Linked DNA regions of Drosophila melanogaster. The protein of the gene in region 1 purifies or fractionates together with the protein of each later gene. This does not show direct contact. Each region holds a gene or a part of one and is shown on either strand. Other genes may lie near its edges.

Region 1 (3,340 bases):
AAGTATCTAGCGTATCTGTTTGGTTGAATAATTTTGTGGTTCTTGCTAGTCGTAAGGAACTACAGCTGCATACCGGAGGTTGGGCTGTTCGTGGTGTATACTCAGCCTAGTGCCTACTTGAATGCCTCACTGACCTGTTCAAACTCCTCGGAGTTCACTGGTAGTCTGGCCCACATCGCATCCGAACACAGAACCAGTTTATTGGCCCAATGGCTAGTGGAATTCAACAGGAAATCACAGTCTCTGGCAGAAGGTAATGTCTATCTGGCCTATGTGGGTTTGGCCTACAACAGCTCAACGTCATTGAGCCCACTGGACTTCAGGAACTCCCAAGGGGAGAGCTTGCAGTGCTTTCTTTACAGAGCCTGGGATGGTGGTCATCCTCGAGTTGGGTAGGCTGACAGTTTATTAGGTTAGCCGCCAATGCTATCTTCTCTAAATCTAACCGAATTTGCAGTGGTGATCTGGGCAACGCCAGCTGCGTGGCCTTGACGCCGCAGGGAACCTGGCAAACCCTGAACTGCGACCGGGAGCTGCCCTTTATCTGCGAAATCCACACGGCCCGGTCAACTTTCGGCTGGGAGCAGTCCAGTTCCGAGCTGGACATCGGCCCAAATGCAGTCTTCGAGTGCGGAAGAGACCGAGTCTGAGTCTATGGCAGCATGGATATTCGCAGCCGTTTTATTCACTTAAGCAGTTTTCAAAACACAAAAGCCAAATAGATATAGTTTAGTGGTGATTGCCCGCCTCTCGCACGCCTTGTGGAAAGTGTAGAATCTGTTGCAGATGCAGGACCACCGGGCAGCGCCGCTTAGTGGTACTTGTAGTTCCTGTGGTGCTTCAACTTGGTGTAGTTAATCAGATAGAAGAACGTCATGCTGGCGACGGTCAGCTGGAAGAAGGGAGCGATCCCGGCGCGCTTTGGGAACACGTACTTGTGCTGCCAGCGCCACCAGGCACGGCTCACAGCTCCGGCCACAGCGTTGGGGGTCTTGTTGCGGCGTCCCAGCCAGGCGCCGATCTCGCCCAGCTTGACCTGGCCGAAGGGCACATCGGCTGCGGATCGGAGAGAGCGGAGAGGTCGGAAAGTTGTTTAAATTATGTAAAACGCTGCACATTTTTGGGCAGTGCAAATGTGCTCTGTGCCTGCCGCAAAAATTACGTAACCTGCTCACCTTTGCCGTAGAAGCGAGCGGGGTCGTAGGGCCCGTGCACCTTGGGGTTGTACTCAGCTGGATAGTCACCGAATGCCATCGCGCTGGTTTGGTTGAGATATATTCTTAAATCGGATTCTTATGAAACATAAAATTACGCCTGCTACTTACTTCCTTCGATACTGACAGTATGACCAAAGCGGCGAGAGCTGGGATTTTCATCGACCAATATACCGAAATATACTATGTGCGAATTTATTGTGTGCGTCTCCGCTAACAGGGAGGATGTATTCGCTACGTCATCGATACAGCGAATATATCGATGCCCGATGCACGATGCACTTCTCACATCACTAAGCTCCAGTATATACAGAAATCAAATAGGATTTTTGCAAGCCTGGGCATTCGAATCAGAATCCAGCCAAAGCGAATCCAGTGTGTAAACAAAAACAATGAAACTGGAGGAGTTGCTGACCAAGGGAGCCTCCTCTCCGCCGGAGGACGACGACGAGGACGAGAAGGTGGAGCTGAAGCCGCAGAAGTCAAGCAGCGCCACCGCGGACGAGGGGGCGGAGAACGCGGAGGATGCGGCCGAGGATGCTGGCGAGAAGGAAGGCGCGGGTGGCAAGAAGAAGGGCACGCGCAAGAAACGCTCCCTTAACTGGGAGGAGGCGGAAAGGGGGCTGCTCCTTGAGGTCATCAAGTCCAAGGTGGCCTTCGTGGAGAACCGGAGCGTGGACGCCAAGAGCATAAAGGCCAAGCGTCTGGCCTGGTCGCAGATCACCAAGCAGTAAGTTGCGCCATTGGGCAGTGGAGCTCGTCTTATAATGGCCCTTCACTCCTTCCATTCCAACCCCCCATCCAGGTTCAATGCCCTTAACTTCCGCCATCGCCTGCTGGAGCAGATCCAGGTGCAGTGGCGCAGCATGAAGAACTCCGCCAAGCGGGAGCACCAGCAGAAGCATCCGAAAACGGAGGCCCTGGAAGGCATGCGGATGATCGAGTTCCTGGAGGAGATGCAGAAGGATCCGGTCACCTCGCGCAGTCAGACACGCAGCGCGAACACAAACGGCGCTCTTAAGAAGGAGCTCATGGACATCGACGAGGACGAAGACATGCCGCTGGCCGCTCTGCCCAACTCTACGAACGCCAGCGAGGACACGCTGCAGACCTCCACAATAGCCATCCCCTCGCCGCCGCCCTCCACTGCTGGCGGAGACGGGGACTCCCAGCAGGAGGGAAATCCCGCCCAGCTGCCAGCCCAGCGACGCAAGCGGACCAAGGCCAAGCAGTCGCCCTCGGGCGCCAAGACAGAAACGTCCGGCGAAACGGGGGAGGAGAACGAAAAGGGCGTAGGCCCACCACGAAAGCGGCGACAAAGGAATGTGAGTTTGAACACAAGCCGCAAGTTTATTTATTATTATTAATTAAGGTTTAGCTGAACAAGTTGCAAATTTTTGTGAAGGGGAATCTTAATCTTTCTTACTAATAATACTATCTCATCGTTAACCAGCTCTCACAGGCCCAGTCGCTGCTGTCCGACGAGAACGAAGCCTCCACCAACGCAGCTCCGAGCGCCACCCCAGTTGCAGACACAAATAGCCAGTCCTTAGATTTGGTCGCCGCCACGGAGATAGAGCAGAAGTACAAGCAGGACCTGTTTAGGCTGCTCAAGCAGGCCCGTCTGGCCGAAATCGACTACGCCCGGCGGGAACACGAGCAGAAGCTGCGCTTCGAGCAGATGGAGCAGGAGGTGAAGATGGCCTACTACCGGCAGGAGCAGGACCTCAAGCTGCGGCACATGCGCGAGGAGCACGACATCCGGCTGCGGCAGCAACGACGGGAGCACGAGGCGCGCCTGGGGATCTACTCGCTGAAGAGCGGTGGCCTGAACGGAAGCATACAGGATCAGAGTTCAGCAAAGTGCAATGCCAAAGCGGACTACAACAATGTCCACGAGGTCGGGCCATCGACCAGTGCGGAGGGGGCGCTGGCGCTCAATGCCGCCTGCAACTAGGGGCGTGGCTGTTGGCCCATATGCATATACAATACGAAGAGAGCCAGCAATTAGGGTGTAAGGCATTTAGAGGAAACATCAACAGTACTTTAAAATTTAGCTTGAAATATGTTTAGCGAAATGTAGCTCTTCCGGTCAGCCAGAGTAACCGGAAACGGAAACGTAAACG
Region 2 (3,445 bases), on another chromosome or scaffold:
AGGGCGTGTCTCATTTCCGAGCTGCTCCATTGGTAATCAAGGGCTTGGGCATGCTCTATGGCACCAAAATTGAATCGCTGGCACTGAGCCAAAGGCCTGCGATTGTCCATACTTTTGCTGTCCAGTTCCGTTGGTTGTGGAAACATCATATCAAGGACTGGCTTAACCCTTTCATCTATGCTCAGATGGACAGCAGCTGGCGGCGGTGGCGGAGGTACAGAAACAGGAGTCACTACGGGCGCGGCGAAGTCGCCAAAATCATCGTCGTCTTCGCTTTGACCGTGGTTTCCATTCGCAGGAGTGGCAAACTCCTGAAAATCATCGAAGCCATCATCGGTCTCTGCAGGAGGTAACTTAGAGGATTCTTCTGTGCTAGGAGCCGTCTTAACCTCTAGAGGTTGAGATTCCGTTCGGGAATTGATTGCTAAGGAAGGTGTCTCAAAGGCAGACGTTGAATTCTCCGTGATTTCTAGTTGGGGTTCTGCTGCTGAGAAATCCGCAAAGTCACCGAAGTCATCATCATCTTCTTGCTCTTGCATTTCGGGAACAATTTCTTTGTGTACTAAGTCTTTTGGCGTCGCATCAAGATTTGTAAATGAATATGTATCACTATTTGCTGGTTCACCCCATTGGTGAGGGGATTCCTCCTGATTTGGAGGATTTGATAAGCCACGGCTTTGATTTTCCATAGGCTTTTCTAAGGTATTTGAACTTTCCTCCTGGGCTTCCAAACTTCTAAAGCTTTCTTCTGGCTGGGAGGTATTCTCTACGTATTCTCCTTTCCCTGTATCCACATTCTCCTCCGAAAAGCCTTCTCCATATGGTAGGGTTGGAGTGGCCAATACCTCTATGGCAAAGAAATCCACAGCTCCCTCGCGTATAAATAGTTCTTTGGGCTTCTTTGGCGAGCACTCCTCGTCGCTGTCATCGGACACATCCTCCAGCGTGACTTGGTGGCTGAGGATATGGGCTTTGGTTGTTTGCATAGCCGGCGGAGCAACTGCACTAGTCTCCGCAACCGGTGAGAGTGTGGAGGCGGCAGAAACGCTTTCCGTGGAATAGAGACTTAGACTGTCCAACTTAAGGGAGGGCACATGCTCCTCCAGTTCCTCATCATCCAGTTCCAAGCTCAACGGAGGCGGCGTCGGCGGTGCTGTTTCCTCGAAAACATCGTAATCCATCTTCTGTTTCACCTGGTAATTAAATGCCTCGACGGTTTGTTTGTCTTCCAGCAAATCAGGTGGCTTTTCTCGAAATTCCTCCACGGGATCTGGTGGTGGAGGGGGTTCTAAAAAGCGAGAATTAACTGAGTATCACTTTGAGATTCGATAAATATCTAAGCTTGCCTTTCGAGCTGCTGACTAAGCCAAAATCTGAGTATTCGTCACCCTCGTCCAAATGGATGGTGGATTGTAAACCGGAATCGTCGTCTTCCTCACCAAAATCGATGGGCGGGGGGGTGCTGCAGAGCAGCGGTGGTACATTCACCATAATGCCAGCTGCAAAATTCAGTAAAAGGATCCCCTAAAATTCACTTCCTGCTTCAAGAAGAACAACAAAAACGCTGGGAACGGTTCGATCTTCTATCTCTCTCGCTCCACTTTATCACTGTGTGTGTGGTGTGTATGTGTGACGCAGGTGTGGAGGGCCTGCAAGTGTGTGTGTGTGTGTTAGCCACTCAAGGTCTGTGTTGGAATTTTCTTGTTTGCATTTAACACGCGTCAATTTTGTTGTGTCTCTGTATTATGTCTAATTGTCGCCTTATTGGTGGCTCTAAAAACAGATTTGCCGAATTTGCAAGTCGCGTTTTATCTGCAATTAGCCATGTTTTCCAGAAAACAATACTTTTTCCTCTGCCCACAGTGTGAACGTTTAACTTTTGGCCAACCGACAGTGCTGAAAAACGTTGCGCAACATTGATAACATACAAAATTTGAATCTTATCTTTTTCAATTCCCATTTTCGATTTAAATCATTATCCATAGTTCAGATAGAATAGTTATATTAGTTATATTTCTATAATAGATTTTTATTCTTTCCAATTCTTTTACCGTTAAAATTGTATTTGAAAATTATTAGTAACAAGAGTAAAATATACATGAAAGTCTAGGCTGCAGTATGTAATACGTCAAATTTTGTTGGGACACTAAACAACAAATAGTCGTCATAAAGGCTTCTTTTAAATTGTTATGATATTTTCCACAATTTCTGCATACTTTTTTAAGCTTGCTGGCAACGCCGCCACCGTACCAATACAACTATCGATAGCCGCCTGTCAGTTTTGACAGCTGTTTTAAGGTTATACTGCGCTGCCGTTGCAATCGCTCCACCAATTTGGTAATTTTGCTTATTTAACATCAAATATTGCATAAAACTAGGAAAACCAGGAATCTGTAAAGTGGAGCGAGACGGGGAACGCTATTAAGGAAGTCGGATAACTAAAGTACATCCTTTTCTTGCAGTTCACGGTCGGACAATTACATAACTTGAAGAAGAAACCATGTCGCAGGCTCCCGTTCGCGTTTCCCCGCTGATCAAGTTCGGCAGATGGTCCCTGCTCCTGGTGGGCATTGCCTACGGCGCCGCCCACCAGAGCCGCCTGTCCAAGAAGGAGGAGAAGTTGCGCGAGATCGAGGCACAGCAGAAGGCCGTCCGTGATGCCAAGCTCGCCGAGGAGAAGAAGCGCAGCGCAGAGGCTGAGGCCCGTGCCTTGGCTGAGCTTTCGAAGCCCACTCCCAAGCACTAGGATCCTTCAGGATGCAACATCCGCAGTTCCCTTAGCTTAAAAACATTGAAAAACCACAACATTTACACACGAAGTTCGCCCAAAAGGAGGAGCATCATCGATAGTGGAGCCACCATCTATCGATCACTGACTATCGTTTTTGTGTTTTCCTCTGATGCTTGTGCAAAAAACAGAATGTTCGAAATTAAATGATTGAAACAAAACCATTATGTAAATACTCTCAAGTGTTTCGTGTTTGTGATTAAGTGGTGTTCACTGGAAATATATTTATATTAGCATAGTGTTTGGATAGGAGAGGATTGAGAGAATTTGAGAGGGTTTGAGCTCCAAATTTGACTAGGAAGTACATATAAATATTTTTGCAAATTGATTATCAATAATTTTCCTAAATTTTGTTTTAAATCTTTTTTGATAAACAACAACTGATAGTTTACCTTATTGGATGCCCACTGTAGTTGCCAGCTGATTGGCCCACTTAAGATATTGGCGCCAACAGCTGATTTCAACCGGCGTTTATTTACACTTTCAATTCGCTCGCAAGTCGTCGCATGGCTCGGCTGTTTGATCAATAATCCCCCGGAATACTTCCAATTCCGGAGGTGTTGAGACACCTTTCGTGTTTCGGGGAGCCATTATATCACGCAATCCCATCGAGGACATGCCATCGCATCGCGATGACAAACTTTCTGGATCAATTGC
Region 3 (2,867 bases), on another chromosome or scaffold:
AAGCCCAACTCGGGTGGTGGTCTGGTCAACTCCTACCGATCGCCCCCGGTCACGCCTGTGAAAAAATGAAGTGAAGTGAAGTGATGGAGCTCTGCTTCCACACACTTCTCTCTCGACGAAATCGAATTCTTATTTATTGCATTGTTTTTAATTTAATCTCTGAGCTTTTATGTATTATAATAGTTTCCCTGCCCGCCCCGACCTCCTTTCCCACCTTCCTAGTTGTATTTTTGTATTTTCAATTTGTTCAGCGCACTGTTAACCTCTACGAACCCCAAGATGGCCGAGCAGGCGGTCCTCTAGCTATTATTGGTAGTTGAAATTGTTTCTGCATTAAATGAAGGAAGTAAAATTGTAACTACCAAATCTTTCATTTGAATGGAGGCAGCATTCAAATATTGAATCACCTTTCCCTCATCGGAGATTTCGAGTTCTCAGCCATTACTTTGCAATTATATCTGGATGTTTTGCTGGAGAACACAACTAAAACAACACCAATTAGATTCCATTTCAGTGCCTCGTTTATTAGACCTTAGGAGGCTTAGCATAGTCAAGATCTGGTTGGGGCACCTGCTCGCTGACCTGCTTGGCGGCCAGCGAAATCTGGGGCAGGATTGCTCCGCCCTCTGGTACAAATCCGTGGTCATCGGCCTTGTAGGTGACGGTCACCTCCTGTCCGTTGGCATCGAAGTAGGAGTAGGAGCCGCTGATCTCCAGGTACTCGTTCTCGGTGCCTTGGTTTCTGACCACGGCCTCCTCCCTTCTGTGGGTGCCGTCCTCGCCGAGGTAAGAGAAGTTGTACGATCCATCCTCGTGCTTTTCGTGAGATGATTCGAGAATGGCCACCGGTGGCTGGGTGGTGGATGTGACGTGGTCCACTGGAGCACTCAGCACGACGGCCGTGCAAAGGGACAGGGCGACGATGAGCTGGAAAGATGGTTTAGGAATGGGCTAATCCTTGGAGTGATCGCCTCTCGGCGGCGCGATACTCACAATCTTAAACATGCTGCTGTCTGGAGGGGAAGCTGGCTTTGAATTGACTCCGAGTGAGGGAAGACTGCTCTTTATATTTCCAAAACTGAAGTGGAATTGGAATTGCTGGTCGCCTTGTTTACCGGTTATCGTCCGGCATCCAGACACTCACTTACATACACTCCATATGTACAAATTGAGTCCGCGGGTATTTACTTGAAACCCGTTCTAAGAATTAATTAAAGAGCGAGCTTCTTACCCAGGCCCATCTGCCATCTCCCATTGCAATTTCGAATCTCGGCCTGCAATTTGAGATTCCTAATTTATGTTCGACCCCGGATCAGGGTCTCACTTACTTATCTCTGCTATAGTAGCATTCGGTTTCGGGAGAATTAAAAAAAAAAGTTTAAGATGTTTTGCAGTCATTTCAAAAGATCACTGAAAATATGTTACTTTTAAAAATTATTTCTAAGTCGAAGATTTTTACTTCATTTTTCGTAAGGTATTCGTTTAGCTTGTGGAAAATAATGACCAATAAGCATTAGTTCTATTTCGGTTGCCCTGGCCACTTTTCATTACATTGTTTGAGCTTCAGCTGCTTGTGTTGTTTGGGCATTTTCCAGATTCAATTTTTCTCGAACGCCAACACGGCGGGAAGTCGGTTTTCCGCTGCCAATTGTTTACACGAAAACTATAAACAAAGCAAACACACGACGTCCGTCTTCGCGCTGATTCCTGCCTGCTCCCATTGATGTTATTTTTGGCCAGTGGGCATGAGGCTGCACCAAATCTTCCATCCTCTCCAGCCGACCATACTATATGCGTTCCACATAGCAGTACCAGCCGGTCAGATGAAGATGTAAATGCTGGGGACCCATATGATGGAGCTGGAGAAGGGGACGGTATTGGGAATGGGCATGGGGATGGGCCCGGAGGTGGAGATGGAGGTGGGATGGTTGGATGAGCAGGGCTGAATACTTAAAGGTGGCACATACGCATCGTTCGATTCGGATGCGGTCCGATTCCTGGCATTCTGTTTATGCAACAATAAATTTTACATTTAATTTTCGATACATTTGCCAAGTCGAAGATGCCCCGATTTGGATCCATTGGATCGCTGAAGGCGGACGAAGCAATTTGTTCGATTCCGCATGATCGGGGAATCTGGCAAATATTGTTTCTTTGTTCGGGCTGTGTTATAATTAATTATTAATCGAAATCCTGAATACCGTTTGAGTATTGAGCAATCAGAAAAATTACTAAGCACATGACTGCTGGCACGATTTTGAGTTTTCTCTGCCTTGGTGTTTGATTTCCAAATGTGCTTTGTACCAGTGAATGGGAATACGTATTCCCAAATGCTGTAATTTTAGGAATTTAGTCATTGGGTGTTGTCCCCCTGTGTGTTCCGATACTCAATAGATTTTTATAAGCTATTTCCGAATAATTTTCGGTACGATTTTATATACCTGCACTGAAAGTTTCGCTGCCATTCACAACTTTTAATTACCAAAAGATCATTAAAACGTACGAAGCTGCACAGAAAACATGAAAAGTTCTATCTTTAAACTTAATTAGAGTTCTTCGGCTTTGGCGACTTTATGACTTTTTGTTAGATGCTCATGATTTTGATGATAATGATCGCAGATGAGCCGTAAAATGAGTTGAATGCGTCGTTGCGTCAGTTGACTTTGATTAGTCAGATGAAATATATTCTCGAGTGTATATCACCAAACGATGAAATACTTACTAATACTATATACACCTGGATCACCTGCAAATCGCTGAGCAAACTCATAGTAAATACGCCTTTTTCCCTTTCCTGTCGTTGTGGAATTGAAACGCCAGTAAGCGGAAAAAGACAAATCGACTAGAATTTGTGTATCCACTTTTCA

The links.
Region 2: the proteins of ATPsynF (region 1) and ATPsynE purify together in Drosophila melanogaster (affinity purification with mass spectrometry; 2 studies listed by BioGRID, with this or other methods). This does not show direct contact.
Region 3: the proteins of ATPsynF (region 1) and Cpr78E fractionate together in Drosophila melanogaster (co-fractionation; one study listed by BioGRID). This does not show direct contact.

Annotation. Positions count from the first base shown.
Region 1 is NT_033778.4:24,598,442-24,601,781, forward strand, and holds ATPsynF (ATP synthase, subunit F), read right to left. Parts: upstream 1,381-3,340; 5' UTR 1,326-1,380; exon of another isoform or gene 1,259-1,325; 5' UTR 1,255-1,258; coding exon 1,176-1,254; intron 1,057-1,175; coding exon 812-1,056; 3' UTR 651-811; downstream 1-650. Other genes in the region: CG13587 (uncharacterized protein), read left to right, coding at 50-392, 458-650; CG3548 (uncharacterized protein), read left to right, coding at 1,607-1,944, 2,020-2,539, 2,668-3,171. UniProt on the Drosophila melanogaster protein: Mitochondrial membrane ATP synthase (F(1)F(0) ATP synthase or Complex V) produces ATP from ADP in the presence of a proton gradient across the membrane which is generated by electron transport complexes of the respiratory chain.
Region 2 is NT_033777.3:14,324,791-14,328,235, forward strand, and holds ATPsynE (ATP synthase, subunit E), read left to right. Parts: upstream 1-2,156; 5' UTR 2,157-2,337; exon of another isoform or gene 2,338-2,393; intron 2,394-2,462; 5' UTR 2,463-2,500; coding exon 2,501-2,746; 3' UTR 2,747-2,945; downstream 2,946-3,445. Other genes in the region: Afti (aftiphilin), read right to left, coding at 1-1,288, 1,347-1,491; spn-B (spindle B), read left to right, coding at 3,421-3,445.
Region 3 is NT_037436.4:21,665,952-21,668,818, forward strand, and holds Cpr78E (cuticular protein 78E), read right to left. Parts: upstream 1,030-2,867; 5' UTR 1,006-1,029; coding exon 994-1,005; intron 928-993; coding exon 526-927; 3' UTR 501-525; downstream 1-500. Other genes in the region: CG43980 (uncharacterized protein), read left to right, coding at 1-69.